2 linked regions of the Tamandua tetradactyla genome follow. The protein of the gene in region 1 purifies or fractionates together with the protein of each later gene. This does not show direct contact. Links are inferred from orthologs where the notes say so. Each region holds a gene or a part of one and is shown on either strand. Other genes may lie near its edges.

Evidence for each region.
Region 2: the proteins of NUFIP1 (region 1) and ZNHIT6 purify together in Homo sapiens (affinity purification with western blotting; 3 studies listed by BioGRID and IntAct, with this or other methods). This does not show direct contact. The link is inferred for Tamandua tetradactyla from reciprocal best matches to the Homo sapiens genes NUFIP1 and ZNHIT6.

Annotation. Positions count from the first base shown.
Region 1 is NC_135330.1:113,886,869-113,902,872, forward strand, and holds the start of NUFIP1 (FMR1-interacting protein NUFIP1), read left to right. Parts: upstream 1-8,645; 5' UTR 8,646-9,023; coding exon of another isoform or gene 9,024-9,111; 5' UTR 9,112-9,326; coding exon 9,327-9,750; intron 9,751-11,814; coding exon 11,815-11,897; intron 11,898-13,297; coding exon 13,298-13,396; intron 13,397-14,363; coding exon 14,364-14,426; intron 14,427-15,324; coding exon 15,325-15,401; intron 15,402-16,004. Other genes in the region: GPALPP1 (GPALPP motifs-containing protein 1), read right to left, coding at 2,682-2,777, 3,439-3,571, 9,024-9,111. UniProt on the Homo sapiens protein: Binds RNA.
Region 2 is NC_135337.1:39,270,181-39,286,370, reverse strand, and holds the start of ZNHIT6 (box C/D snoRNA protein 1), read right to left. Parts: upstream 6,743-16,190; 5' UTR 6,605-6,742; coding exon 5,943-6,604; intron 4,975-5,942; coding exon 4,909-4,974; intron 4,823-4,908; coding exon 4,716-4,822; intron 4,632-4,715; coding exon 4,546-4,631; intron 1-4,545. UniProt on the Homo sapiens protein: Required for box C/D snoRNAs accumulation involved in snoRNA processing, snoRNA transport to the nucleolus and ribosome biogenesis.

The sequences.
Region 1 (16,004 bases):
TTAAAAAGGGAGGGGGGGAGGGCCATGGTGGCTCAGCAGGCAGAGTTCCTACCTGCCATGATGGAGACCTGGGTTCGATTCCCGGTGCTTGCTCATGCAAAAAAAAAAAAAAAAAAAAAAAAAAAAGGCAGGGGGATGGGGACATTATGTGGTACAAAATAAGCCAGAAACAAAAGAACAAATATTGTGCAGCTCTTTTAGAAAATACAAGAAGATTGGGGCCTAGATTGTAAGCTCTTATAGCAGTCACATTTAGTCTGGAGCTGTAAATGCTATTTTTAGATTTTGAGGTACTATGCTATATATGTATACCTGGTATCTCCCTAGAACTTTCGGTACCTGTGTGACACCTAAGACTCAGAGTTGGAGTTCTACAGCTTTGAAAGTCAGCATTGCTACATACAACAACTGTTAAAGAAACCAAAAAAGAGATTAGGCTTCAATTAGAGATAAGAATGAAGTCAACTGGGTTGGGACTAAGATAAATCAAGATACATGGGTAAAGATGATAAAGTAGTTTAGAATGTCACCTACTGTATGAGACCAATGGAATAGAGGTCTAGGTTGTCCAAAACCTGCATTTTCTGCAGCAAATAATCTAACTCAACCTATCTGGATAGATTATTTAAACAACCCAAACACAGGGAACCCAGAATGGGAATGAGGGCTTGTAATTTTGTAGAGTTTAATGTAATATCTGGATGCATTCCAGAGGATGTTGGGTAGATAATTAAAAAGCACTGGAAAACAAAAACCTACAACCTTCAGATGGGTCCCTGGTCTAGATAAGTCCTGACACCTAGCCCAGCCTCTCCAGAACATCAGATATCTCCATCTCCCTACCCCATATCAGTGACAGACCATTCTAATATCAAAAATTTAGACTTGCCATAGCCCAAACAACCCCAATGACAGGTATGGAAAGATCAAAGGTGATAGTGGAATTATACATAGAAGACAGAACTTAACAAATGATTATGAATGCTGAATCATTAAACTGATATCTCTTTCAGTCTCCAGTATTTTAGAGCAGCTAGAGTAAAAACTTACAAGTGTGAAATTGTAACCCATGTCAAAGTCTGAAATATGTTCTACAACTAATTATGGTGCTATGCTTGGAAATTTACAGCTTTTTTGTATATATGTTATTGTTTACAAAGAAAGAAGGAAAAAAAGATTGTATTGATAAAAAAAGTATTTAAGCCCCTAGCCTCCTATATTCTGGAACAGCTAGAAGGAAAAATATGAGAGGATAGTATGGTAGCCCATGACAAACTCTGGGATCTATCCTGTAACCACTTTTTGAAGAGTGCTTTCAAAACAACTGCTTTTTTATTCCTTTGCTCTGTATATATGTTATACTATACAATAAAAAAAGTTAAAAAAAATTATTGGCAAAGTCCCTTGAAAGACTGGAGAAAAAATATGGAACTATTAAACTTTACCACCAGGGAAACCCTTGATATTGTCTAAAACATTAGGGACTCCCAAGTCAAGAGGCCAAGCCCTTGATCTTGTTGAGCCTATTTCTGTAGCAGAGAAGCTAAGTCTACCTATAGATATGCCTAAGAGTTACTTCCAAAGAAGCTCTTTTGTTGTTCAGATGTGGCCTCTCTCTCTCTAAGCCAACTCTGCAAGTAAAAATCATTACTCTCCCCGCTCTGTGGATCATGACATCCAGGGGAGAAAGTCTCCCTGGCAATGTGGAATATGACTCCCAGGTTGAGCCTGGAATGCATTCCTGAACAAAATGGGTAAAAGAAATGTAACAAAATAAGGTATCAGTGGCTAAATGAGTTCAAATAGATTCGAGAGGCTATTCTGGAAGCTACTCTTACGCTAGCTTCAGCCAGATATTGCTAATTACCAGAGTGTGCCAAACCCTAACCAAAACCATTCCTGTTAACCCTACAGAACACCTAGGGCTTCAGCTGAGATTCTATAAAAGTTTCACACACTAAGATTACTTGTGAGAAACCTACAGCCTCCAGATGGGTTCTTAGGCCAGATAAGACCTGAAATTCAGAGGGGCCAGCCTCTCTAAGAATATCAACTAGTTCCATCCCCCATTCTGATTATCAACACCCTTTTCCAACATTAAAAAGTTAGAAGGGGCATAGCCCAAATAGCCCTAAAGATTGGGAGAAGGATAAAAGGAGAGGGAGGAGTTATGACAGAGGAGATAGGACTTAACAAATGACTATGACTACTGAATCATCATATTAATATTTCTTTCAGTTTCCAGTATCTTGGAGCAGCGAGACGGAAAAACCTAAAACAGTGGAACTGTATGTAACCCATACCAAACTCTGAAACCTGTTCTATAACTATTTGTTACAATGTACTTTGAAACAAATTGCTTTTTTGTATATATATTTCACAATAAAAAATGTTAAAAAAAAAATGGCAGGGGGAGAGGGCTAACATTCCACCTGGCCTACTACAAAACACTTTATTAGTACCATGTAAGAGCTGTGGAAGTTTTTTGTCAACTATTAAGTGTTAGAAACATGTACATAACTTTTTATTCTATGAAACGCTACAATTCCCTATGAATGACTTATGTAAAATGTTACATAGGTATATAAATTAAAAACAATTTCATACTATTCTTTAATGAATTAACAGACATTAGCTGAAATATTTAGAAAGGACAGGCCTGAAATATTACATATTATCACCTTGGAGGAGATTCATCCTGCTTTTTAAATCCAGGAGGAAGGGCTGGTCCAAAAAACCCATCATCATCATCATCATCCTGATTTCTCCTCTGTTTTCTGAAAACACAATAATGTAACTTGATCCATGCATATACATCAAGGAAATTTTAATAAAGCGAAATTTTAATTTCTAAAGGAAGCATTAACTGCAACTAGTTGGACAAACACTGAAGCAACTCCTTCACAGCACTTGTATTTCAATTTTTCGTGTTTAATGAAATATTGAAGTCTACTGCCAGATGTTTTTGAGCAAAAAGTTGGCAACTGACTTTTAATCACATTTAAGGAAGGGTTCTAAGTTGCTATTCTGTATCATAGTCTTAAAACTGTATCAAAAAAATCCTCACTATCCAATTATAAACAAAGACTCAGCTTCTTATTTACATGGACTCTTGGTGAATAAGGCTAGATAAACATATACTACATATACAATCTTAAAAAATTCTATGGCTTATGTAGAACATTTAGTCATTTCAATATCTTCCAGAAAAATTTCTAGATAACAGATTTATTGAAATTTTAGACATCTCACAGCTAGTATACTACAAGAATAAATTTCTTTGTGAAAGACATAGTTTATGCTAAAATGCCATATGAAATGGCTTCTTCCTCTACTGTATAACTACAGATATGACATCCCCTGACTAGTTATCTGTTCCAGCCAACTTACACTGGATTAGAAACTTGGTTTATCATTTAATTTAAGTAAGTGACTGACCTTGCAGTTGGACCAGTGTCATCTTCTTCAGACTCTTGATTTCCTTCTTCATACAAAGAACTACTGTCCTCATCACTATCTGATGAATCCGAACTACTGCTTTTATAATTAGGGGGCAAAGCAGGTCCTGCAACTAAAGAAAATTTATTGTGTGTGTCAAAACCAACTACAAATGATTCAATGAACCTATTAGATGACATTTTCACTTTCTGAAATTCACTGGACTGGCTATCTACCATCTGTTACAGATTTTAATATCAATTTTTAATGTTTTATGTACACTGGTTTTGCATTTCCAATTATATTCTTGCTTAGGGAAAGCAGAAATCATATCTTAGCATAACTAGGATATTCACAAGAACACTAATACCTGATTTATAAATATAAATATAGCATATAATTTCCCCAGCAACATGCAATTTTTTTCATTGTTTGGTACACTTGCCAAAATAGCTAAATGATTTTTTTCCTTTATAGATAGCATATGGTAGACAAAATTACACTACCAAGCAAACCAGACCAACAAGTTGACTATTTCATACTCTAATATATCAAACATAAAAATATCCATTCTGGTTTCTAATTAAAAAGAAAATCTTTACTGGCATCACCATACCAATCAGTTAGTGTTCTTTCAAGACAATTTAAGCAGAAATAAAGTCAGAATCACTTTTAAGTTTTACTGCTTACTAGTAGAGATGAACAGAAGAGAAAGAGATTGTACTGGGGTGGGTGGGATGTTGGGGACTTTGTTAAAAGTCCCTTAGGCCCACTCACCAAAGTGACCTGCTCTCTTGTTATACCCCAGCAAATTACAAATTATTATATGACGTCACTCCATGATGTTGTCAAGTCATAGAGACACAACTTCTGTGTTGATCCTGAGTAGTAATACTAAAGGTCTACTGCCAGGAGGGCAATGGTGGCTCAGTGGCAGAATTCTTGCCCGCCATGTGGGAGACGCGGGTCTGATTCCTGGAGCCCGTCCATGCCACAAAAAAGTCTATTGCCACATATAGGCCAAACACCTGATCTTGAGGCTTCCTCTTATGAAGTTTATGTATGCAGCAGAGAAGCTTAGCCTACCAGAGGTAGGCCTAAGAGTTACTTCTGGAGGACCTCATCTCTTGCTCAGATGTGGCCTCAATTCTCTCTAAGCCCAATTCTGCAAGTGAAATCATTGCCCTATTCCCTATGTGGGACATGACATCCAGGGGTGAAATTCTTCCTGGCGGCATGGGAGATGACTCTCAGGGATGAGTATGGCCCTGGCTCCATGGCATCAACAAAGCCATCCTGACCAAAAGGGGGAAAAAAGTGTAACAAATAAGGTATTAGAGGGGTGAGAGAGTTCAAATAGAGCCGAGAGACTACTCTGGAGGTCCCTCTTACATAAGCTTCAAGTTTCAGTTAAATATTGCTACCTATCATAATGTGCCATACCCCAACCAAAACCATTCAAGCTAATCCTAATGACTACCTAGGGCAATGTATAAGATTCCATCTCCCTATCCCATATTACTGATAGTCCTTCCAACATGAGAAAGTTAAAATGGCCATAGCCCAAACACCCTTAAAGAGCAGGACAGAAAGATCAAAGATGATGGTGGACTTATAAAGAGAAGATAGGGTTTAACAAAAGAGTATGATTGCTAAATCATTATACTGATATTTCTTTTAGTCTCCAGTATCTTAGAGCAGGTAGAAGTAAAAACCTAAAATTGCAGAATTGTAACCCATACAAAACTCTGAAATGTTGTTGTTCAAAGTGTCGTGCTTTGAAATTCATTGCTTTTTTGTATGTATTTCATTTTTCACAAAAAAGAAAAAAAAAGTCAATTGTGATGATAAAAAAGTATTTATTCCTTTTAACCGCCAATGTTCTGGAGCAGGTAGAAGGAAAAATGTGAGATAATGGTATGGTAGCCCATGACAAACTCTGGAATCTGTCTTATAACTACTTGTTGAAGAGCACTTTGAAAATTATTACTTTTTTCCTTTCTTTGCTTTGTATGTATGTTACTATTGCCAATGTAGATCAAAATGGAATAAGAAATAAAGACCACCATAATGGTGAACTGATAGGTAATTATAAATAAAGTCTTTTGCCATAATTTCCAAGTCTGGATGCTTTTCAAGAACCACTAAAATATATATTTTTTAAAAGATTCCTAAGCCATTTCCCCAGGGATTCTGATTGAGTTGGTCTGAGTCAGAACTGGAAATATGATTTTTTATTTGTTTATTTATTTTTAAAAAAGACTTTATTTATTTTATTTATTTTACATGGGCAGGCACTGGGAATCGAACTTGGGTCTTCTGGCATGGCAGGCATGCATTCTTGCCTGCTGAGCCACCGTGGCCCACCTGAAATATGATTTCTTAAAGAGCTTCTCAGATATGCCATATGTTCAATGATAACTTAATAAATAAAAGGAAAATAACATGTTTTGGGTTCTTATGCATTATATGTGATTTTAAGAAATTCATATGAACTAACCTATTTAATTTGACATTATTAGAGAGGTATTGTATAATAAAGAACTTGGCTGGCCTTTGCACCTGGTTCTTGGGAGATATCCTCTAAATCTCTGGAATTTCCCATGATAGACCATGCCCTATCAGCCTGACCTCAGGGGAGAGGAGAGGGCTGGAGATTACATTCAATCACATGGGCATGGGTTCAATCAATCATGCCTGAATCATGAATCCCAATAAAACCTCTGGATGCTGAAACTTGGACGAGTCTTTCCTGAGTAGTAACACATGTCAGTGTGCTGGAAGAGTGATGCTTCCAGACTCCATGGGGAGAGAAGCATGGGAGCTTTGTATTTGGTGGCACTCCTAGACTCCCCATGTATACCTTCTTTCGGCTGGTCCTGATTTGTATTTCTTTTGCTGTAAAATAAAACTGTAATCTTAAGTATAGCACTTTTCTGAGTTTTGTAAATTAGGGACTCCCAAATTTATAGCCAGTTAGTCAAAAGCGAGAGTGACCCTGGGAACCCCAGAACTTGCAGCTGGTGTCTGACATGAAAGTGGTCTTTTGAGGACTTGAGTGCTCAACTTGTGGAGTCTGGCCTGATTTTCAGGTAATCAGTCAGAGTTTCACAGCAGCTGGTATCAGAAGTTACCGTGAGAGGTGTTACTGTTATTTCTATTTTACAGACAGGTAACTGAAGCACAGGAAGGCTAAATAATTTGTCTGACTTCACACAACTAAAGAGAGGAGCCAGGATATGAATATAGGAGTCAAGAGCCTATACCCTTAACCACTATACTATCCAACATTCAAGAATTGTCATCCATCCATCCAACAAATACTTTACTGGGTAAATACTTCTAGAGAAACAAACATAAAAAGACATATTAGCGCAGATGGTTAAAGTGCTGTTATGCAAACAGGAAAATAGGGAAAAAGTGAGTGGATATTTAGGAGGGTAATTTTACATGGAGATTTGAGGGCAAGTCTGTTGGAGGTGAAGGCTGTTGGTGGGCATGCACCAAGCTGAAGGGAAAGCATCCAGATGGGAGCAGCTTTTGAAAAGTCCTACAAAAAGGGAATAAGCTAGATGTGCTCGAGGCCAAAAAGTCCAGTGTGGTTAACAAAATGACAGAAGAAGAAGGTGGATGGTACGAAGGGGAACAGAGCATGCTTTCATGTCAGACACTCTGGATTAGAATTTCAGCTTGGCCACTTACTAGCTGGGTTAACTGGTTAAGTTGCTTAACCTTTCTGAGATACTCTTTCTTCTGTTAAAACAAGTTAGCAGTATTTCCAAATTTCAGAGGACTCTTGTGAGGAATGCATTAGTTAATATATGTAATACACTTAGCACAGGATAAAGCACACAGTAAGGAGGTTCTAAGTTGGGAGAGACTTGACCTGAATTTGCGGATAAGAGGGGTTTGGAGGTGGGGGGAGGTGAGTTAGAAAAAAAAAAGGCTTATAAAAAATGTTATATTTGCAACATACTTTGAAGGAAAAGCAAAAAGGACCTGATAATGGTTTGGATCTGAGGGCAAAAAGAGGAAGTGAGATGGCTCAGGGTTTGGGCTCCACTGGCTAGCCAGGTGGGTGGTCATGCCATTCTCTAATATGGGGAAGACTAGAGAAGAGAGGATGGGGGAAAAAGTCAAGAGCTTTGTTTTTCACATTTTAAATTTATGATACCCATTAAAAATTTCAGTGGTCCTGTCAGTGGTACTTTAGGGAGCAAATCCTGCCTGAGATTAATACAGGGAATATAGGGGGTGCACGAGTAGATCAATCATAGAATAGCTGCCTGTCATACAAACCTGGGTTTGATTCCTGGACCATGCATTTCCCCGCCCCACACACAAGAAAAATAAAAAAAATTCCCTATGATACATATATCACATCTCTGCCTCAGGGTATATGTTTAGATGTAGAGATACATAAATGTAGGGAGACACATAAAAAAAAGTAGGGAATATAGTGAATCAGAAACAACATGCATATAAGAACCCAATCAGATAATTTGTTTCCACACTCTTCTCCAACCTTCTTTGCTAAAATAAAACATGACTTTTAGTGGCTATAACAAAAATGAGATCTGGAAGGAAAACCTTTAGGTAGAAACATGGCTGTGTGGCAGTCAAGCAACAAAAATTAGATCCAGAAATGAGAGACCTACTCTTTCTGCATTATTTTTCTCTAACTATAGCGTCGGTCCTAGTCTATAGCTAAAACAATAAAGGAGATAGATACGCGTGGAGGAGTCTGAGAAGCATTTATTTGGTAAACAAAATGTTGGCTATGTGTTAAGGCTAGAAGGCCATAGTGCAGTGGGGGAGACAAATAATTTAAATACACTGCATTAAATATATGATTTAATTAAATAGGGGAAAAAAAACCCTGTGGGGAAAGATGAAGGTGTGACAAAGCATGGGATAGTTCGGAATGACTTCAACTGGATATTTAAATTTGGATCTTAAAGGATGGATAGGAGTTTGTCAGGTGTGTTAAGATATGCCAACAGAGAGAGGTCAGAGGGACCCTAGAATATTAATAACTGTACAGAAATTTGGTCTGGTTTGAGCACTGTGTGCCAGACGCAATGACAGAATGAGAAGTTAAGGAAGCAGGTGTAGAGCCAGAGAACAAAGGATTTTCTGTGAAGGTCTTGTACGTCAGAAAACAATACCGCACAGAAGTTAGGAGTACGGGTTCTACTGTTCTAATTCGGCCTCCACCACATGCACGCTGTGATCTGGGCACCTATCTCGGCCTCGGTTTCCAGTTTATGATATGGGAATAGTAATAGTCTTCACCTCCTATAATTTCTGGGAGGATTAAATGACTGTGAGTCAACCGTTTAGCCCAGCGTCCGGCTCATATTAGCGCTAAATTAGAACACATCAACATCATAATGATAACCCAACGAAAGCTCGCGCAACGCTACGGGTTTTCTGAGGATACCCCACCGCCACCTACTTGCTACTACAGCTTAGGAGGGAAAATTACAGCTGCGGTCGGGCCGCGCCCACTCCCGGGTCCTCCGCCCTCCCGGGGGTCTCCTTACTACTGGGTCGGACCAGCAAGGGGGCACGCCTCCGCCTACCCGGGCTCGGGTCCCGCTCCTCGTCTTCGGCTGTCCCGCGGGCATTGAAGCCAGGAGGCAGCGCCGGCCCGATCATGTCCCTGGCCATCTGAGGTGGTCGACACTACTCACGCACAAATATATTCTATTCGCGCAGCTGCAAATCTATCCGAAAAATGCCCAGCGGAGCGCTGCGAAAGCTTTAAGTTTTTCCGGCGCTGACCAATGACATAGCGGCCTGTGATTGGCTACATTGGGCAATTCGCGCTAACGGAAGTGACGGCTAAAGGTTGTGCCAAAGTCATAGGTTAGGTTCCCGACCTGATGGACGGCGTGGCTGAGCCGGCTGGTGGAGTTTTGACTCCTCCGGGGAGTTTTCCGCCTCCCCAGCTGAACCCCGCGTTGGGGTCGCTGAACAACGCTGCCCCACGGCGGGACAACTGGGTGCTCTGGGCAATGCTGCAGCCGCCGCCGCCCCCGTCTTCGTCCTTGACTTCCACGGTCGGGTTAGAGCCTTCCTCGGATTCGCACCCGCACCTCGCGGCCCACGCTCTCCCCGGGGTGCCGCCCCCCTTCGACACTCAACTTCTTCCCGGAGCTCAGCCCCCCTTCGATGCCCAGTCTCCTCTTGATTCTCAGTCTCGACCCAACGTCCAGCCTTCCTGGAATTTCCAGGCATCGACATCATGGTACTGGAGACAGTCTCCTGAAACGTTTCCTCAGCATCAGAAGTCCCACAACCTTCACGGTAGGCTGTTTTTCCTCACAGTATCACCCCTTTACCTATCACCGGCCCCCTTTCTTTTTCCCTTCCATTTCTGCTTTCCTTCGCTTTCTGCACTTCTGATTCTGCCCTGCACTCTTGGAATCTGGTCGTTAATGTCTCACAGTATGTCCTGCTGGAATATTTTCTCCTTCTGTCCATTCGTTTTAGAAGTTATTTATTGAATTTCAACTAAGTACCGGGAACTGGGAATATAGCAGTGAACAAAACATGCAGAAATCTTTTTCTTTATGGAGCTTAACATCTTAGGGTGGACAGACAATGAACAAAGCATATTGTGTATTTGAACGCAATGAGTGTGATATAGAGAGATAAAAATGATAGTGCAGTTTTAAATACAGTGGTGGGGGGATGGTCTCATAAGAAAGGTGGGATTTGAGCAAAGACTTCAAAGAGGTGAGCGACCAAAATTATGGCTCTATGGGGGGAAGGGATATAGGTAGAGAAAACTACATGTGCAAAGGCCTTGAGGCAAGATATACAGAAAAGAGTGGAGTCCTTGGTGGTTAGAGAGAAGTGGGCCTAGTGTAGAGTAGTAGAAGAGGACAGACTTTGTAGTTTGCCTTGTAGACCATTGATGGAACTTTCATTTGACTTTTACAGTGGGTAGCCGTTGACCCGTTTTGTTCAGGGAAGAGATATGTGCTGATTCAAATTCTAAAACGATCAGTCTGGCTAGAGTAATGTAATTGAAAGGGCAGTCAGTTAGGAGGCTGTTGCAGTTATCCAAGGGAGAGATTTGGGGGACGTGGGCTAGGGTGGAGCTGGATGATGAGAGGTAGATGGATTCTAGATATATTTTGAAGATAAGGCCAGTATGAATGCTGAGGGTTTGGATGTGGAATGTGAAATGAGGAGATGAAGGTAACTTAAGTTTTTTCCCGACAAAGAGCTGAAATTGAGATGGGGAAGACTGAATGGAATGTATTTGAAAGGGAAGAACAAGAGTTGGGTTTGGATATGTACATTCAAGTAGAGTTATTGAATAGCTGCTAGCTATGAGACTGTACTTTCAGGAGAGATGCATGGCTGGAGCTGTTAAGTTGCCATCATTAGCATGTATATAGAAGATATTTAATGCCATCAGCTTGTTCACATAAAACCATTCTCCAGAATTTCTCCAATTGCACGAAATTCAATTTAGGTTAAATTAAATCTAAACACTCAGTGAGTACTGTGTGTCAGTTGGGGAAATATATGTGTGGCTAAGACCGTCCTAAATTGGGTGAGATAGGTTCATATATATGTATAAATTACAATATAAGTATGACTGGTGATAGATGCGTATAAAAGGTGATTCATAATGCAGAAGAAGCAGCTTTTGGAAGAAGTTTCTTAAGGAGGTGTAGGATTGGGGGGAAAAGTGCTTTCTAGGTAATGACAGAGAGATGTCAGTACAAGGGTTCTGGAGGAAGGTTATAGAGGCAAAGCAAGCTGAAAAAATAAACTGGAATCTCATCAGAACACTCCAGAAAGCCATTTGTAGATTTTTGAGAGGGTAGTGTCATGATTGGAGTGTATTTTTGGTGTCATTGTATGGGATCAGTTGGAGAGGAGAGAACTTAGGAACTGAAAGACAATCTGGGAGAATATTACAGTAATCTATATGCAAGATCAGGGTTTCAGAGTTGGATAATGGCAGTAAGAATGGAAAGCAGCAATAGGATGTGAGAGAAGATGTACAAGGTTTCATTATCCTTGTGTTAGAGTGATGTTGGCAGTGCTGTATCAGATTTTACTGTTTAAGTTTCTGATATTCAGAATAACTGAAAGGAATTTCATTAGGTTATTGTCCATTTCTATACCTAAAACATCTATGGACCTGTTATCTCACCAGTATTTTTTCTTTTGAAAATATTTATTTCGTAGACTCGTTTTAATGTTTATGAATTTGTTTGATGTTCAACTACTATTCTTAGAAGGGCTAATTTAGCAGCTAATTTTACTCAAGTATATGCAACGTGCTGTAGCAAATAAAACTTTAAATAATTGTGTATTTGCAAACATTGATCTCTTTTTGTTTTTTAGCTAAACGTTCATATTATCCAAGAAAACATGATGCAAACTTCACTGATTTCAACTTCCCTCCTAATAGAAAACAGAAAAAAAAGGTATTTTGGGGATGTTCTTGAATGTCCCTATGTCACTTTTTCATATCTTGCATTTCTGTCATAACCATCTCCGTGTTTTGTGTCCCTTATTGACACTGTTTCTTTAAAGATGATGTCTGAAAGTAGAAGCTTCAAACAAAGTTTTTTTGAGAAATAAGTGGAAAAATTGTAGAGAAAGGATTAATGGAAAGAATTGAATCCATTTTGATATAGAATCAAAAGTAAAAATAACTGAGAATTATAATTATAGAACAGTATGAATCTTATTAAACCTTGATAAAATAGAAAATAATGTTAGCAGAAGAGGAGGGACTTGAAGGAGAAGTACTTTAGAAGTACAGATTTCTAAAAATAAAATTATATAAAATTGAAAGCATGGGACTAAGAACAAAGGAGGCTTTTTTAGGAATCCATATTTCTGTGTTAAGAAAACAATTCCTTAAGTTTCCTTTTCTTGTATTTATATAAGATTAAACAGTGTTGTAAATTTAAAACAGTTTATATATAATCATCATCTCTGCTTAATATCTGCAATGATTGAGAGTACCAGGTTTTTTGTGTCATTTTTATCTTATTTTTTATCTGTTGTTTACCTAAATTCATTGTAAAGCTTCAGTGTTTTTCATTTATGGCTGTTTGTCATTTTTTAAATGAGGAAAAAGAAAATCAACTCTTTTATACTTTAGAAACCAAGTCTTAAGATTGGTTTTCTTTATTCTGAAATAGCTTGCAAATCTGGTTTTTAAATTTTAAGGTGAATAAATAATGCCATTTGTTTAGAATATGTTGAACACTGTCTACAACCTGAAATGAATAGCCTTCATTTTGGCATGAAAGCTGTGTAATTAACATTAACAAAATGTTCTGCAAGTACAGTGTGTTTGTTCACATAAGTCCGACATTCAACAATTGGAGACCATTTCCTACATAGTCTGTCTTTGTAATAATCTTTTTTCTTTTTTATGTTCAAGCATAAAAATAGCAAATTGGAAAATCAAAAACAACTAACCTTTACCTAAATGATCCATTTCTCCTCTTTCTTTTTTTTTTTTAAAGCATCATGTAATTATTTTTTCTAAGAGTCAAAGTATGGTTTACCCTGAGTATTTATTTTTAGATCATTTTGACATGTACTATACTAAGTCTTCATTAGATTACCAATTTGGAATCTACTTACAAAGTTTGTATTAGCTTTACTCTCATTTAAAGTTTTTCCTGTCTGATCTTTCCCTAATACTTTTGCTAAAAAGAAAAGAAAAAGAAACATTAGAAATACGTTCAGAAAATTTTCCCACATATGAGGATGAAAAGTCAAAATGTTTATTAGTAGAACATAGTTTTATTTTTGTTATTCATAGATTTTTCTTTAAGTTTAATGTCTCTTTTTTTGTTGTTTGCAGAAAAGAAAGGAACCAGTTTTTCTCTATTTTTGTGATACCTGTGATCGTGGCTTTAAAAATCAAGAAAAGTATGATAAACACATGTCTGAACATACAAAGGTATGTTTTCTTTTTCTTGGTTGCTCTCAAATTCATTTAGTAAAATTGCTGTCTATCTATATGTTTAGTAGAATTTCTGACGTTTTCTCCCTTGAAAGCTTATGGTTTTCATAGAAATATTGTTTAATAACTTGACGAATTTGGACAGTGACCCTCGGCTTTGCAGCTTAAAAGTTAGGTATCCTCTCCTTTAGAAAGAAGTGCAGTGGCAGTAAAGAACAAGGGCAGTCTGGCAGCTGTTTGCATGTATGTGCCTCTACTTCTTTGTAAGAGGGCTGGGCCTTCCCTCCAGGTACCTGGGGCATTTCTATGAATTCTTTCCCTTTTAAGACTGCCCTTGACTATTTAACCATATACCAGCGTATAATTTTCCATGGTCTAGCAGCCTGTATGTATGGTCCCAACCTTATTAATCACTTTTATTTTGTTTTTGTTTTCGCATAGGCAGGCACCAGGAATCGAACCCGTGTCTCCGGCATGGCAGGCGAGAATTCTGCCTGCTGAGTCACTATCGCACTGCCCTTTTTTTGTTTGTTTGCTTGCTTGCATGGGCAGGCACTGGGAATCGAACCTGGGTCATTAAGTATTTTTTAAAAAAAATTTGAACCAGAATATTGGACAATTAAAAAGTTAAAAAGCCATTGTTTGGAGAGGTTTTTCAGCTTATAGAAATGCCTTTCAACTTTAGCAGTGAAGTACATTTTGCAACATTGCTGATGTCAAGCTTTCACTCGAAGAAATAAATGCTAAATATTACGTATTATATACTTTGAGAAAGTTATCCCTTTCTAAATGCAGCTCTGTTTTGGAGTCATCTTTGTTTTGGTGTTGACATAAATATGAAGTGATGACACCACATAGATGGGATAAGTTTATAAGTATGGCCAAAATACATCTGTATGTGAAGTAGTAGGGTAAATTTAATGTGAAGAATATTTAAGTCTTTTTTTTTTTTTAACTCTTCTAGTGTCCTGAAGTAGATTGTTCTTTTAGTGCACATGAGAAGATTGTCCAATTCCATTGGAGAAATGTAAGTTTGTGTGTTTGTGGTTTTTTTTTTTTTTTTTGTATGCTGTCTGGTGGGGTCACATTTCATTATTCTTCCATGTGAATATTCTGTTATTACAGCACCATTTGTTGAATTTTTTTGCTTGATTTTGTTTGTTTGTTTTTGGGAAAGTGCATGGACCAGGAATTGAACCTGGGTCTTCCACATAGCAGATACCCTGTACCCTCTACCGTATCTTTTTGCATAGGCAGGCTCCAGGAATCGAACTTGGGTCTCTGGCAACCTACCCTGTCTTTTTGATACATGCTCTTTTTATTTCATTGATCTATTAATTTCTCAACTCTTCATTTTTATAGCCTAATAGAAGGTAACATCTGTGGAGTACTTTTCACTTTTTAAGGCATTTTTACATCACTTATTCAGCTTCATCTTCACAAATAGCTGTGTGTGGAGTAGATAAATATTACTTCCATTTAACAGATTAAAAAAAAACTTGTCTAATGCCTCAAAATTGATCCTTGAGTCTGATTTTCTTGACACCAGTCTGTGCTCATTTTACAGCACTGTGCTGTTGCTGATAATCATGCGTACTCATTATTTCTATAGCTGCCTCCCTCAGTTTTGGTTGTAGGTCACTCATTTGTCAATTGAAAAAATGAGTGATGCTGGCAGGTTACTTTGTAACCAAAATTATTTTATTCCTTTTTTTCTGTTAAGTAGTGCTAATCTAACTACATGAGAAAATTCTTTAAGGGAAAAGTCATAGTAATAATGGATAAAATTATCTTACTTTGCTTTAAAATTGTCTCTGCAACTGAATGCCGTTTTGGGTCCAAGGTCTCCATTATCTTCCATAATACTCATAATACTCACAAGTATACTCTGTGCTTCCTGATGTTCAGCCGGCTTTTTCTCCTAGACGCATGCTCCTGGTATGAAGAAGATCAAGGTGGATACTCCAGAGGAGATTGCAAAATGGAGGGAAGAAAGAAGAAAGTGAGTAAAAATTAAGAACTAGTGAAATAACTTTCTTTAACTGTTGGAAGTCTCAATATTTCAAACTTAAAAAAATTAAAAAACTTTCCAACTTATGGGAAGTTTCAAAAATAACATACACCCCCTACAGAAAACTCCACTATATCCCTATGTCCCAGATACCCAGACCCATCAGTTTTAACATTTTGCCACATTTTGCTGTCATTCTAGGTATCCATCAGTTTATCAGTCCATCTGATTTTCTGTCTTTCTCTCTGTCTGCCTGCCTGTTTATCAATGATTATATGAACACTTGCGCATAGGTTGTATACATCGTGCTCCTTGAACACTTAATACTGCCACATATATTTGCTAAGAACAAGGAAATTCACTGCCATATCCACCTTAAGTGCAATTATCAAGTTTCAGAAATTTAACGTTGATATAAAGCTTACAGTCTCTGTTCCAGTTTTTTCATTTGTCCCAATAATGTCCCTCTGAGCCTTTTGCCTTGTTCGATCCCATCCAGGATCATGTATTGCCTTTAGTTGTTATTGTCTCTTTAGTTGCTCTTTCTTTTTTATTCTTAATTGTGGGAACATATATACAACATAAAATTTCCCA
Region 2 (16,190 bases), on another chromosome or scaffold:
TACATGAACATACCCTTTCCCCAATGAAAATATCTAAGAATGACAGACAATGGAGGAAATACACATATAAATATATATTAAGACATCTTAAAATGATGATAGCCAACAATGTACATGGAATACCACTGAACTATATATTTGAAAGTAGTTAAAATGGGAAATTTTATGTTTTTATGTTACCACAATAAAAATTTAAACACAGATACACACAATCACTTGAAAAGCACTGAGGAACTGACAAAATAGCTAGGAAATATCAGCCAATATTTAACAGAAAGTGAAACTTTTGAGAGGTAAGGAGAACAATGAAGCCACTATTGCTAATTTTGGCAAATATGGGCTTCCCTTTTCAATAACCTTCTTGATAAGCAAACAGGAAGTTAAGATCAAGTAATTTGATGGGAATTTTTCACATTAAACTGGGTCCCAGAATAATACATACTCAGGATAAAGGTGAACCAGAAATAAACCCTATCCTTAGAGGATGCTGGGAAAATTGTGTTGGATTGAGCACAAAAGGGGAAAAACAAAACAACCCTGAGAAGTAGCCTGGGCCAGCCCTTGCTCAGATTTGCGATTTGCAATTACTTGCCTTACTTTATGTGGTCAAAGAATTCTTAAATTGTTAATTTGGTTTAAGGTAGATCTGGATTTGCTATGTTCCCAGGTGCCTGGAAAAATAAAAATCATGTATAAAAGAAGGCCTATTTATCTAAAAAAAATTCTTAAATTACAAGGAATTTTTTTTTAAAAAGTGAAAAAAATCAGAAAACAGGTGAAAGGATAGATAAGTTGCAGGGAAGATAAGACCTAAGTCACATTTAATAGTTTCAGAAGTAGAAAGGGGCAGAAGTAATATTTTAAAATAAAAAGTGATAATATCCCAGAACTGATGAAAGATACTTCACAGATTTGAGAAGCCTAAAAAATCTTAAGCAAGATAAACAAAAAAGATATCTGCACTTTTGTATCATGGTAAAGAATGAAATTAGCTAAGAAGAAATAGCTAGGAAGAATGCAGCTAGGAAAAAAAAGATTTCAAAGGCAGAATTAAAATAACAGGTGACTGCGATTAGATCTTACAACAACAATGGAAGGCAGAAGACAATAGAACAATGATTAATAATTCTTAATTATAGTTAATTATAGTCTAATTATAATTCTATAATTAGAGAAAAATTATTCAATAAGGATGAAATAAAATTATTTTTAGATAAACACATACTAGTAGAAAAAATCTGAGTTGGCAATTAGCAGCGCCTCCCTAAAGGCTATTCTAAAGGATGTATTTCAGGCAGAAAGTATTCTCTCAGAGGGTCTGAGATGATAATAGAAAGAGTAAGAAGCAAAGAAGTTGGGAAATATAAAGATAAATCTAATAAACATTGACTGGTAATCAATAATTATTACATGAGGAAAAAGAGATAATTTAAATATCTGACAATAAGCCAAGTCAGAAGGGAGTGATTAGAATGTGAAGTGTACTAAGGCTGGCAAACCAGGGCCGTGGGCCAAATCTCACCTGCCAATTTTGTAAAAAAAGTTTTATTGGCACATCGCCCATCCATTTGTGCATGCATTGGCTATGGTTGCTTTCTTGTTATACTGGCAGAGTTGAGGAGTTGTGACAGATATGATATGGCTTAAAAAGTCAAACATTTATTATCTAACCCTTCACAGAAAGTCTGCCAACCACTGTTCTGAGGTCTCTACATTATCTGGGAAAAGCGTTAAGGCACTGGTTAACTTTAGACACCAATAACTAAGCATGCATAGCTAACCTAACCACTGAAAGGAAAGAAACAAGGACTATAGAGAGAAAACTTCAAATTACAGCAAGAAATCGTCCCAAAGATGACAAGAAAAAAAAGAAACCAAACAAATGGGACAAATATTACAATAAGGTGACAAATTTAAACCTAATATATAAGTAATTCATTAAAATGTAAATGAACTTAATGATTCAGTTAAAGGTTACAGATAGACAGGATAACTGAAATTCAACTACAGATGTTTATGTTCTTTTACCGAGTATGACATTAGCTATGGGTTTTAATTTGCAATTCTCTGATTTCTAATGAGACTGAGCATCTTTCATATATTTTATTGGCCATTTGGTTTTCCTGTTTTGTGAAGTGCCTGATCAGTTGCTATTATGTGTTTCTTTTCTATTTTTGTCAATGTATCCTCTTGACTTTTATTATATATACCATTCCTTCTACTTTGAGTGAATGTTGGTGTTTTTTTTCCAATTTAAGATAATTGATTGGTTTATAACTCATTGATCTTTATTTCTTTTCTAATATGCACTACTTTTAAGAATATAAATTTCTCACAAAGTATTGCTTGGCTTGGATTGTACAAGTTTTGAAACAGTGACTTTGATACATGGTTAATTTAGATATGTGTTTCTTAATTTCCAAGAGAAAAATAATAAAGAAAATACAGAAATATCATATTATCCTCACCCTTCCCCTAATTATTAAAACTTTGCACAAGTCCACTTAATAGGTAAAGAACAGTCTCTTCAACAAATGGCGCTAAAAAACTGGATTTCCACATGCAAAAGACTAAAGGTGCACTTGTGGTACATTTGTTACAACTGATGAAAGAATATTATTATAATTGTACTATTAAGTATGGTCCATGGTTTAGATTAGGGTTCATTGCGTTGTGCAGTTCTATCATGTTTTGTAAATTTTTATTCTAGCAACATATACACAAAATAAAATTTCCCCTTTAACCACATTCAAATATATAATTCAGTGCTATTGTTCACAGTGTTGTATTACCATCATCACCTTCCACTACCAAAACTTTTCCATCACTCTAAATAGAAACTGCACAAATTAAGCATTAATTCCTCATTCTGTACCCCACCACAGCCCCTGGTAACCTATATTATAGCATCTGACTCTATGAATTTTCTTATTCAAATTACTTCAGATCAATGAGTTCATACACTATTTGTCCTTTGTGTCTGGCTTATTTCACTCAATGTGATGTTTTCAAGATCCATTCATGCTGTTGAATGTATGAGAATCTCATTCAATTTTATGGATGAATATTATCCCACTGTACGTACATATGACATTTTTTAATGCCTTCATTCATTTATGGACACTTGGGTTGTTCCCATTTTTGGCAATTGTGAAGGCTACCATGAAGATCAGTGTGCATATTGTCTGAGCACGTTTTTAATTCTTTTGGATATATACCTAGAAGTGGGATTGCTAGGTCATATAGTAATTCTATACTTAGCTTCCTGAGGAACTGCTAAACTGTCTTCCACAGTAGGTGCACCATTTTACATTCCCACCAAACAATGAATGAGTGTTTCTATTTCTCCACATTCTCTCCAACATTTGTAGTTTTCCTTTTTTGTAACAGTTGCTATTTTAATGGATGTGAATTAGTATCACACTGTGATATTTTTCTGCATTTCACTAATGGCTAATGATGCTGGGCATCTTTTCATATGGCTGATTGATTTTGGACAGGAGTGCCAACCCTATTTCATGGGTAAAGAATAGTCTCTTCAACAACTTGTTGCTGAGAAAACTGGGTTTCCACATGTAAAAGAATGAAGGTATACACCTACCTTCTCACATTATATACAAAAATTAACTCAAAATGGATCAAGGAGCTAAATACAAGAGCTAAAGCCATAAAATTCTTAGTAGAAAACATAAGAGAAAAATCTTCATGACCTAGGATTGGGCAATGGATTCTTAAATATGACACAAAAACATAAACAATTAGGAAAAAAACTATAAACTGGACTTCTTCAAAATTAAAAACATTTGTGCATCAAAGGACATCATCAAGAAAGTGAAAAAATAATCTACAGAATGGGAGAAAATATTTGGAAATCATGTATCTGATAAGGGTTTACCATCCAGAATACATAAAGAGCTCCTAAAACTAAACAACACAAGACAAACCCAATTTAAAAAATGGGCAAAAGACTTGAATAGACATTTCAATAATTCACCCAAACCACCATATTTCTCACCTGGATTACAATAGTCTAACGGTTTTCCCTGCTTCCTATCTTCCCCTATAAAGTCCATTATCTACAAAGCAACAAGAATGACCTTTCAAAAATCAGACATGCCCAAAACCCTACTAGCGATTCCACTGTAACTTCTTTTTTTTTTAACATGGGCAGGAACCAGGAAGTGAATCCGAGTATCCAGTTTGGCAGGCGAAAATTCTGCCACTGAGCCATCACTGTCTACTGTAGTACTGTTTTTTGAATACATAATACATAAGTAGCTCCCTCCACAACATTTTCAGTCCCTTATTTTCTGTATGCACTTAACTTTGTTTGAAATTATATTTGCTCCTCTACTCATCTCTTCTGTCTCCCCCACTACAATGCAAGCTCTCTAAGAGGAAAGTCTTTGTTTGCGCTACTCTTATGGTCCTAGTAACTAGGATAGCGCTGGGCTGTGACAGCCACTTAATATATCTGTTGGGTGAAACAAGTAACCTATTTGTTGGAAGGAACTGCAACTGGGACGGATTAGAGGAAATCCTTACATGTTTATTTCTTATTGGTCTTTTCAAGAAAGTGTCTCTGGAAATATGGTCTGCTGTTCTTGCCACATCTTCCAAAAATCGATAATCTAAAAATTATGAAACAGAAAAATGAACAAATGACATAAACCAATGACCAGAAGCATCAATCTGCTATGCATAAAATGGCTTACCACTTAGAAGATTCATTTCAGTAAACTGTTGTATTGAAACAAATGCAGTTTTATCTCGAACTCCATTACATATCAGTTCTGCTTTGTGTTTCTTTACACAGGGCAAACTGGAGAGACAAACAGGAAGAACTTTTATACTCTGAAGTAACCAGGATAGAGACAGAGGTAAAAAGATAGGAAAATACATATATACCTGCAGGAAAATCGCATACAACGTGGACATCTGTACTTTGCTTCTTCTATACCACAAGTTTCACACCTACAAAAGCCCATATATAACTTATTAAAATACCAATTATTAATTGTACTTATATATTTGTAATCTCTGAACGCAAATCGATTTTTATCAAGTCAATTTACCAACATGTAGTCATAGTGAACAAAGTACATGCAAAAGTAACTGATAAAATACTTACAAATGTCAAGCAACATTTGAATACTCTCCTCTATGAAACTATCTCCAAATGACAACTACATTTACAATGTAACTGATGGTATATCTCAAGAAAACATATATTAAATTAAAAAGTATCACCTTACTTTTGTCCTCTTTTTCTAGTATATGCAGAGCAAGATTCACTGATACGTTAATTAGTAATTCCTAGCAATCTAAAAATGTATCTGAATGCTTGTATCCAGAAATTCAATCCATGAGCTATGTATAGATATTTTGGAAGCATACATACCAGCCAAACAATATAATTAGAAGACCAAGTCAAATTTGGAGAGTGGCAGTTACATCTTTTCTTCACTCCACTCAAAATAATCTAGAAACGTTATTAACCATCAACTATTTTCAACTGCTATTCTAGGATCTCCCGGTATTGATAACCAAACCACAGCTACTTCTATTTGACCCTCTGTGTCCCAGCCAGTAATAGTCCCAGGAATACGACCACTCTTTTATTTTCTGTCACATGACCATACAATGCAAAGAAAGTAAAATTTAAGAAAACAAATTCATAGGACCCATTCAGAAAGTTGACAATTGAGTTCAAATGCATTTCTGTCTATTCTTAACAAGTGAATTTACTACCAACTTCACATATTCTCACTGAACTTGTTTCCTGACAACACATGGCCTCCAACACCCCACCACCTCAGGCTCCACGGACACAAACTGGCACTAGTTTTCATTACTGCTCTGCCAGCAGAGCGTAGTTTCCTTTACTCTAGACAACAGAATATTCCACTTTATTCCCCTGATTTGATTTCTCCTCATCTTACCTTGACATGGCCAGCTTACGTTTGCAGCCCATTGGAGCCTTCATTTGAGACTCTTCTTTCACCTTTGTTTCTTCCATCACTTCCTGCTTCGGGACATTTTTCTCTTCTTTCACATGCACTTCATCCATAACCTCCTCCTTTTTTATGTTCTGGTTAACGAAAATCTCCTCTTTTACGTCCAATTTATCCTCCCTCTCTTCCTTCACTTCTGGCCAGTCCCTTATCTCTTCCTTCACTGCCACTTTCTCTTCCTTTACCTCTGGTTCTTCCATTTTCTCTGTTTTCACCACCAAACTACCATCCATCTCCTGTTTCACTTCCAACATGCTTGCTTTCTCATCCTTCACTTCAGGCCCTTTCTCCACCTCCTGCTTCACCCACTGTCCATCCAACATGCCTTCTAGTTCCGACCAGTCCATAACTTCTTGCTTCACAACCTTCAGCTCTATTCGCATTTCCTCTGCTCTCTGTCCACTTTCCTCCTCTTCATCCTCGGTCTTCAGTCCTCTCTGTCCATTCCCCTCCTTTGCAAGGCCGGCCTCCACCAACCCTCCCAAATCCGGGATTCCCTGTCCACACAACTCGGGTCTTAGCCGCGCCCCCTCAGTGCCACTCTCGCTATCTCCTCCCGACGTCCCTTCATTTTCAGCAGCAAACGCCATCACCTTACGGTCCTTGACCTCCGCTGCCTCTGTGTCCCCACCAGGCAGCTGCTCCCACGCCGAGAGGGGTGAACTCCCGCCTGGAATGCCTAGGCTACCCACGTGTCTGGCCGTAAACCGTGTACACCGGCTCCGCGCGGTCACCTTAAATTGCCGTAAGGCAACGCTCCTGCGCGTCGCAACTTCACGACTCGTGGAGCTCTTTACGACTCTGGAGCGATCTTGTCCGGTTTTTTCTGCGATTATCGGCGTGAGGCCACGCCCACTGAGCGCTCGCTTCCCGGGGCGGGGCCTCGCGACGCGTTGCCCCTGGAGAGGCGGCCTTGGCCCCAGTGTCGGCGTCCCTCCGCCCCGCGCCTCTCAAAGAGGGAACCCGGAGCCGGTCAGGAGGTAAAGGACTGGAAACCCTGTAATTAAATCCTGTAGTGCAGAAAGCCACCCTAATCTGTTACCGATTAAATCTAATCTCGTGAGAAAATAAAAGAATCACCTGAGGCTACTTTTCTCTCACAATCATATTACAAATTTCTTGATGTCACAAACTCTATGTACGGTGGGTGTTTATTTTGGGGGATTCTGATGGAGTTCAGGTAGGAAAGAGGACCAACTGTTGTTCTTTCAATTGTTTGTCAGTAACAGCCCACATCAGCCCATTCCCCATTTCCAGCATTCTGCGGAATTTCCTAAGAGAAGGATTGTATATTTATAAATAAAAAGTCCTGTTTAAAGACTGGGACTAAAAGTTCAATCATCAGAAGTAAAAGATCTAAAAACGAAACATAAATCAACAATCACACAGAACCTTCCTTTGCATCTGTTTCAGGGTACTATTTGTTTTCTTTTACTACATATTTGGCATTAGGCACTTTCAAAGCCATGATTTCACTTATTTTTCAAAGCATGTATGTGAAGTATGTATTTTCCTGGCTGTATGAGGTGACTTCAAAGTAGTGGCTTCTTAGCTGTAAACTGCTTTGTGCTACACCTTCAGACCCTGTTACTTAAGCACTAAGCCATCCACAACTGGTCAGGAAATGGCAATCTTGAATTGGTGGACAGAATGAGAGAATTTTGGAACCATAGTTGGGGCATCACCAATTGAGTGGGGCTGGAAGGAGAGTTGAAGGAAGTTTGGAGCAATTTTAGTAAAATCTCATGGGTTGTGAGGAGGAAGCTGCCAGTGAGAGCATATGGACAGTATCTTTTGAAGGTATTCAACAGTGCCAGTAGCCCATGGAATTAAAGAAACTTCACAGGATCTTCAGGCTGGTTTACATCTTTATGTAAAGATGTAAAAGGGGCTAAATGGAAGAATCATTCATACTTGCTAAACACCAAGGGTGGGAGATGAGAGCAACCCAAGGGTGTGTTGATCCTCAAAAGAATAAAACTATCTGAATTTCCATTTAAAATCTAGAGATATAGGTCAGAGGCCAGAAGCATAAGGACTTTCTAAGATTTTGGAATTTCTGTCATTACCTCACATTTGTTCTTGTAATCAGTTTTTTGTTTGTTTTATTTCACAGTTAGTGGAAGGGAAATCATGAAACCATTAAGGATCATTGATAGGATCACAGCTAAGCCCTTATCTAAATTAAACAATCATCACTGTTGGGAATGGTAATTGCAATGATGATACTATTATGGAGGTGTGGAGTTACTGGTGGTATAGTTGAATGGCAGTTTTGAAGGAAGGGGGAGGCCTGAGTGGTGCTGGAAGAGGGGATTTTAGGGTGTTGGAATGTAGAACAAGGGCATTGCCTGCAAGGGGGGCAATAGGTGGGACAGAAAAAGTAAGGAAGAAATCATGTGGGGCTGTGCTGGTTTGAAAGGAAGTATGCCCCCTAAGAAAAGCCATGTTTTAATATAAATCCCATTTCATAAAGGTAGAATAATCTCTATTCAATACTGTATGTTTGAAACTGTAATGAGATCATCTCCCTGGAATATGTGATTTAGTCAAGAGTGGTTGTTAAACTGGATTAAGGGACGACATGTCTCCACCCAGAGATAACATTTAAAAATACTAAAATATACTTATGCCACAAAATAGTAGAAGAGAAACAAAGAAATGTGAAATAGCCCATCCAAAGGAAGATGATAAGAATACAGATAAGAAGGTAAGAATATGGTAAGATTCTCTTTCTAGAACAGGGGTGAGCAGGGCCAGTCACTGATCACAGCTTTTAATTCACTAATCACAGTAAATTTGGATCACTGGGGCCTGGCTGTGAGAGCAGCCACTGTTTCAACTCTCCCTGGATAGGGTGGAGGGTGTGAAGATTTAAAGATGCAGAAGTTCCTCAGGGCTGCAGGGGCAATTAGCTGAAGGGCTGCATTTGTTGGGCAGGCCAGGAAAGCTCAGATTTGGGGACCCATTGGAGAAGTTTTGACATCCTTCCTGATCCCCTCCCCAGGGCATTTTGGAGCAGGTCTGGGCCCCCTTCAGGGATCCCTGGCCCTTTTTTTTGGCTGGGAAAGACTTGACTTGGGAAAGTCCTCTCGGGGGAGAACCTCCTCCCAGAATTTGTCCTCCAGGCAAAAACAGTGTGTGACAATGAAAGAAATGTAAACAAAAACAAAAAACTATAGAGGAAGACAGTCTGGAACAAAGGGATATTAATTTCAAACACCTGGGAGAGGGAGGTCTGTTTCTTGGGAAACAATGGGAAAAACCCAACACCCATAAACAGGGGAACTCCAAAATGAATAACAAGCAAAAATCCAAGACAAGACAGAGGTCTAGAAAGACAGGGAAACTCCTGTACACTACATTTGCCTTCAGTAGACCTTCCTGATAGGAGGGCTGAAGCTCAAGAAGATCTCTGCCTTATTATCAGCTTGTTAAAAAACCAAGAAACAGATATCCCAGGGAATATATCCCAGAGATAACATTTAAAAATACTAAAATATACTTATGCCACAAAATAGTAGAAGAGAAACAAAGAAATGTGAAATAGCCCATCCAAAGGAAGATGATAAGAATACAGATAAGAAGGTAAGAATATGGACATACTGAACAAAGACTTTTAAAATGATCTTAAAAATGCTCAAGGAGATGGAGGAAAGTACAGAGAGAGAACTAAAGAATATGAGAAAAATAATGAATGAGCAATGTAAAAGTCTAAATAAGGAGATAGAAATTAAAAATATATATTTTTATTGAGAAATAGCCACCACATACAGTCCAACCATATTATACAATCACTGGCTCACAATATCATCACATAGTTGTGTATTCTTCACAATGATCATTTTTAGAACATTTGCATCACTCCAGAAAAAGAAATAAGACAAAAAAGAACTCTCATACATCCCATAACACTTACCCCTCCCTCTCATTGACCCACAGTATTTCAATCGACCCAATTTTTACCCTTTATCTCCCCCTATTATCTATTTATTTTTATCCTTTTTTTTTCACTTATCTGTCCATACCCTGGATAAAAGTAGCATCATACACAGGTTTTCACTATCACACAATCACATTGTAAAAGCTATACAGTTATGCAGTGTTCTTCACGAATCAAGGCTACTGGAACACAGTTCAACAATTTCAGGTACTTACCTCTAGTAACTCCAATACACCATAAACTAAAAAGGGATATCTTTATAATGCATAAGAATAACCTCCAGGATGACCTCTCGACTGTGTAATCTCTCAGCCACTAAGACTTGATTTTGTCTCATTTCTCTCTTGCCCCTTTCGGTCAAGATGGCTTTCTCATTCCCATGATGCTGGGTTCCGGGTCATCCCTGGGAGTCAGGTCCCATGTAGTGGAGAGGGCAGTGAGTTCACCTGCTAAATTGGCTTAGAGAGAGAAAGCCCAAATCTGAGCAACAAAAGAAGTTCTCTGGGGGTAACTCTTAGGCATAATTATAGTAGGCTTATCTTCTCCTTTGCAGGAATAAGCTTCATAGGGGCAAGCCCCAAGATTGAGGGCTCAGCCTATTGGACTGATTATCCCCACTGCTTGTGAGAATATCAGGAATTCCCCAGATGGGGAAGTTGAATATTTTTCTTTTCTCCCCAGTTCCCCAAGGGGACTTTGCAAAAACTTTTTAATTCTCTGCCCTAATCACTCTGGGATATATTGGGTCGTCATACTAACCTGTACAAACCAACAAGATTTCACGCTATATTCAAGATTCCATGTAATTATGGTGTTCAAGTAAACTGACCATACAAGTTAAATGAGATAATGTGCTATCCAAAATATAAATTTTGCACCAAATAAACATCTCTCCCTTTGGTCTCACACAGAGGTTGAAGTTTGAAGCTATGGTCCATAAGAGCTAGAAATTTTAAAAAGGTACCAAACAAGACTACTGGTGTTGAAGACCAAAATAACTGAAAAGAAAAAATGCCTAGGAGGATTTCAAGAGCTGGACATGACAGAAGAAAGAATAAGCAAACTTGAAGATTAGGCACTTGAAATGAGTTAGGCTGAGAAGCAGAAAGGAAAAAGAAATATTAAAAGTGAAAATAACCTAAGACAGCTATGGAACACCATCAAACACATCAATATGCACATTATGGGTGTCCCAATGGAGAAGAAAGAGACAAAGGGGCAAAAGAAATAGTCAAAGAAATAATGACAGTGACTGTCCCAAACTTAGCAAAAGATATGAACATCTCAGAAACTCAGAGAAAACCAAACAGAATAAATATAAAGAATAAAACACCTGTCAAATATAGATTACAGTATTGAATGCAAAGGACATGGAGAGAGTTCTGAAAGCTGCAAGAGAAAAGCAGCATGTTCCATACAAGGGAGTTGCAATTAGATTGAGTGCCAATTTCTCATCAGAAACCATGGAAGCAAGAAGGCAGAGGGTTAGAATACTTAAAGTACTGAAAGAAAACTACTGTTAGCCAAGAATCTGGTGAGATTCACTTTTAAAAATGGGGGAGGGAGTAAGACATTCTCAGTAAAACAAAATTTGAGGGAGTTAGTCACCACTAGATTGGTCCTACAAGCAATGCTAAAGGGAGTTCTTCAGACTGAAAAGAAGTATACTAGACAATGGTTTAAAACAGCATAAAGAAATAAAGATGTGTGATTAAGGTAACCATTTGGGTAATTACAAATGTTATATTGTAGTTTTTGGTGTGTAACCACACTTCTTATTTTCTACAGGTACTAAAATTCAAATGCATAAAAAAATAATGATAAATCTATGTTTCTGGACATGCATTGTAAAAAGAGATAAATGGTAACAAGCACAAAAAAATTGTGGGCGTTGAGTGGTATAGGAAAAGTATAGGTACATGCTATTGAGTTAACTTGGTTTCAAACCAAATATGATAGCTATATATTTGGATGTTGAATTTTAGCCCCATGGTAACCACAAGGAAAATAGATGAAAAATATATCCAGATAGAAGTGGGAAGTCACAAGATGGTGCAACCCCAAAAAGCAAATAAATATAAAAGTAGGCATTAACAGAAATGAAGGACAGAAAGGTAAAAAAAAGACTTACAGAGTCTACAAATGGCAGAAGAAAGTCCTGTTTATCAGTAGTGACTTTCAAAGTAAATGGATTAAATCCTGCAGTCAAAAGGTGGAGATTGGCAGAATGGATCAAAAAGCAATGTTCTGGAGCAGTAGAAGGAAAAATGCAAGATGATGGTTTAGTAGCCCATGAGAAACTCTGGGATCTGTCCTGTAACTACTTGTTGAAGAGTGCTTTGAAAACTATTGCTTTTTTCTGTCTTTGTTTTGTATATATGTTATATTATACAATAAAAAAGCTAAAAAAAAGAAAAGCATGAACTATATACTGTCTGCAAGATACTCACTGGAAATTCAAAAAAGCAAGTAGGTTGAGGGTGAAAGATGGAAAAATATATACCAAGCAGTAACCAAAAGAGAGCTGGGGTAGCCATACTAACATTGGATCAAATAGGCTTTAAGTCAAAACAGTTACAAGGGATTAAGATAGTTATATACAGATAAAGGGGAAAATTCAACAAGAAGATGTAACAATTATAAATATATACGCACCTATGAGGAAATTTCCAAATATATGAAGCAAAAAATGGCACATTTGAAGGGATAAATTGATGGTTCCACAATAATAGTAGGAGATTTAACACACCACTCTCAATCAGAAGGTCAAGAAGGAAGTACAAGACTTGAGTGATACACTAAAGCGACTAGACCTAACAGACATATATGGAACACCACACCCAGTGAAAACAGAATACTTCTTGAGTGTACATTGATCATTCTCCTGGATAGACCACATGTTGGGTCGCAAAACAAGTGTCAATAACTGTAAAAATACATTTTTTTTAGAGTGGAGATTAATGAAAAATACATTTTTTTAAAAGTGGAGATTAATGAAATAGACAACAACGCAAAAAAAAAACAATAGAGAGAATCAACAAATTTGAAACTTGATTCTTTGAAAGAATCATAAAATAAAATTAACAAACCTTTAGCTAGACTGACAAAGAAAAAAAAAAGAAAGGAGACAAATAACAAACATTAAGAAGTGAAAATGGGGACATTACTACCACTCTCACTGTGCCAGTTTGAAAAGCCATGTTTTAATCCTGATCCAATCTTGTGGGAGTAGATGTTTCTTTTAATCCCAATTCAATACTGTAGGATGGAAACTTCTGACTAGATTACATTCATGGAAATTTGGCATGCCCAATGGTGGGTGTGAACTTTTGATTAGATGGAGATGTGACTTCACCCACTCCAGGTGGGTCTTGATTAATTTACTGGAATCCTTCAAAAGAGAAAAATTTTGGAGAGAGTAAGAAATGACAAAAATGACAGAAGCCTCAGACCTGACAGAGAGAACAGATGTAGATGCTCAGAGGATGGTTGCTTCACAGAACAGAGACATGGATGTTTGGAGATGCTTGGAGCCCAGCAGATATCACCATGAGATGTTAGGCAAACCAGAACCTGAAGAGAGTCATGGGAAGCCAAGAGATGAAAGCCAGCCCCAGAGCAGCAAAGTGAGGAACCCCTACAGGAACAGAGGCCAAAAGCAATGGAGCCCAGGAGCAAGGTACCAGCAGATACCAGCCACTTGACTACCCAGCTGACAGAGGTGTTTCTGATGCATCAGCCTTTCTTGAGTGAAGGTAACTTCTTGCTGGTGTCTTAATTTGGACACTTTCACTTTCTTAAAACTGTTAATTTGTAACTTATTAAATTTCCTCTTTTAAAAAGCCATTCCAATTCTGGTATATCACATTCTGGCTGCTTGCTAACTAAAAAATAAAAAGGACTCTAAAAGTATATTTTGACAATTGTATGCCAATAAATTAGATAACCTAGATGAAATGGACAAATACTTAGAAACATACAAGGTATCTATGTTGACTCAAGAAGAAATAGAAGATCTCAACAAAGCAATTACTAGTAAAGAGATTGAATCAATAACTTAAAAAACTCGCAACAAAGAAAATCCCAGGACCAGATGGTTTCACAAGGCAATTCTACCAAATATTCCGAGAAGAATTAACTCCAATTCTGTTCAAACACTTCCAAAAAAATAGAAGAGATGAGAACACTTCCTAACTCACTCTATGAATTCAGCATCACCCTCATAGCCAGATAAAGGTACCACAAGAATATAACCAATAGCTCTAATGTTTACAGATGCAAAATTCCTCAACAAAATACTAGTAAACTGAATCCAATAGCATATTAAAAGAATTATACAACATGATCAAGTGGAATTTATCCCTGGTATGCAAGGTTGGTTCAACATTTAAAAAAATAATCAATTAATGTAACACACCAGTGTTTTAGTTTGTTAAAGTTGCTGGAATGCAATATACCAGAAATGGAATGGCTTTTAAAAAGGGAATTTATTAAGTTGCAAGTTGACAGTTCTAAGGCTGTGAAAAGGTCCAAATTAGGGCACCAATAAGGGTTTACTTTCACAAAAGTAAGGTTGATGCTGTCTGGAACATCTCTATCAGGTAGGAATGCATGTGACTGGCATCTGGTGGGGTCTTTGGCTCCTGGACACCTCTGTCAGCTAGGAAGGCACATGGTAATATCTGCTAGCTTTCCCTCCTGGCTTCTCATTTCATAAGAATTCCCCAGGGGTGTTTTCCTTCTGCATCTCCAGAGGTTTCTGTCTGTGAGGGCTCTAAAGCTTTTTCCAAAAATGATTCCCTCTTAAAGGACTCAAGTAAATAACTGCACCTTGAATGGGTGGAGACGTCTCCATAGAAATCACCTAATCAAAAGATCCCACCCACAATTTGGTGAGTCATATCACCATAGAAACTACTTAATCAAAAGATCCCACGCAGCAATACTAAATCAGGGGTAAAGAACATGGCTTTTCTGGGGTACACATAGTTTCAAACCAGCACAACCACAGTAACAGAATGGAAAAAAAAATCCACGATAATCTCAGTTGATGCATAAAAGGCATTTGACAACATACAGCACTTCTTCTTGTTAAAAACACTTAGAACACTAGGAATAGAAGGAAACTTCTTCAACATGATAAAAGGTACATATGAAAAGCCTACAGCTAATAGCTTACTTAATGGTGAAAGACTAAAAGTTTTCACTCTAAGATCAGTAACAAAATAAGGATGGCCACCATAACCACTGTTTTTCAACATAGTACTGGAAGCTCTTGCCAGAGCAATTAGGCAGGAAAAGAAATAAAAGGCACCCATATCGGAAAGTAAGAAATAAAATCTTCCCTATTTGCAGATGATGTGATCCTATATGCAGAAAATCCTGAAGAATCCACAACAGTGCTCTTAGAGCTGATAAATTAATTCAACAACATCGCAGAGTACAAGATCCACACTCAAAAATCAGTAGTGTTTTTATACACAAGCAATGAACAATCAGAAGAAGAAATCAAGAAAAGAATTGATCCACAATAGCAAGTAAAAGAATCAAATATCTAGGAATAAATCTAACCCAGGATGTAAATGACTTGTACATAGAAAACAATGAAACATTGCTAAAAGAACTCAAAGAGGACCTAAATAAATGGAAAGATATTCCATGTTCATGGATTGGAAAAATAAATATCATTAAGATGTCAATACTACCCAAAGCAATTTATAATTCAATTCAATCTCTATCAAAATTCCAAGAACACTCTTTGTAGAAATGGAAAAGGCAACCATCAAATTTATATGGAAGGGTAAAGGGCCCCAAATTGCTAATGCCATCTTGAAGAAGAATGAAGGTGGAGAACTGATTCTTCCCAATCTCAAAACTTATTACAAAATTTATTACAATAATCAAAACATCATAGTTCTGGTACAGATATATAGACATGGGATAGAATTAAGAGCTCAGAAATCAGCCCTCACATTTATGACCAACTGATTTTTGACAAGGTGGTGAAGACCACCAATTTGAGAGAGAACAGTCTCTTTAATAAATGGTGTTGGGAAAACTGGATCTCGATTTGCAAAAAAAAAAGGGAGGATCCCTACCTCACACAATAAACAAAAATTAACTCAAAATGGATCAAAGACATTAATATAAGAGAGAGAAATATTAAACTCCTTGAAGAAAATGTAGGAAAGCATCTTCAGGACCTTGTCTCAGGCTATAGTTTCTCTTAATCT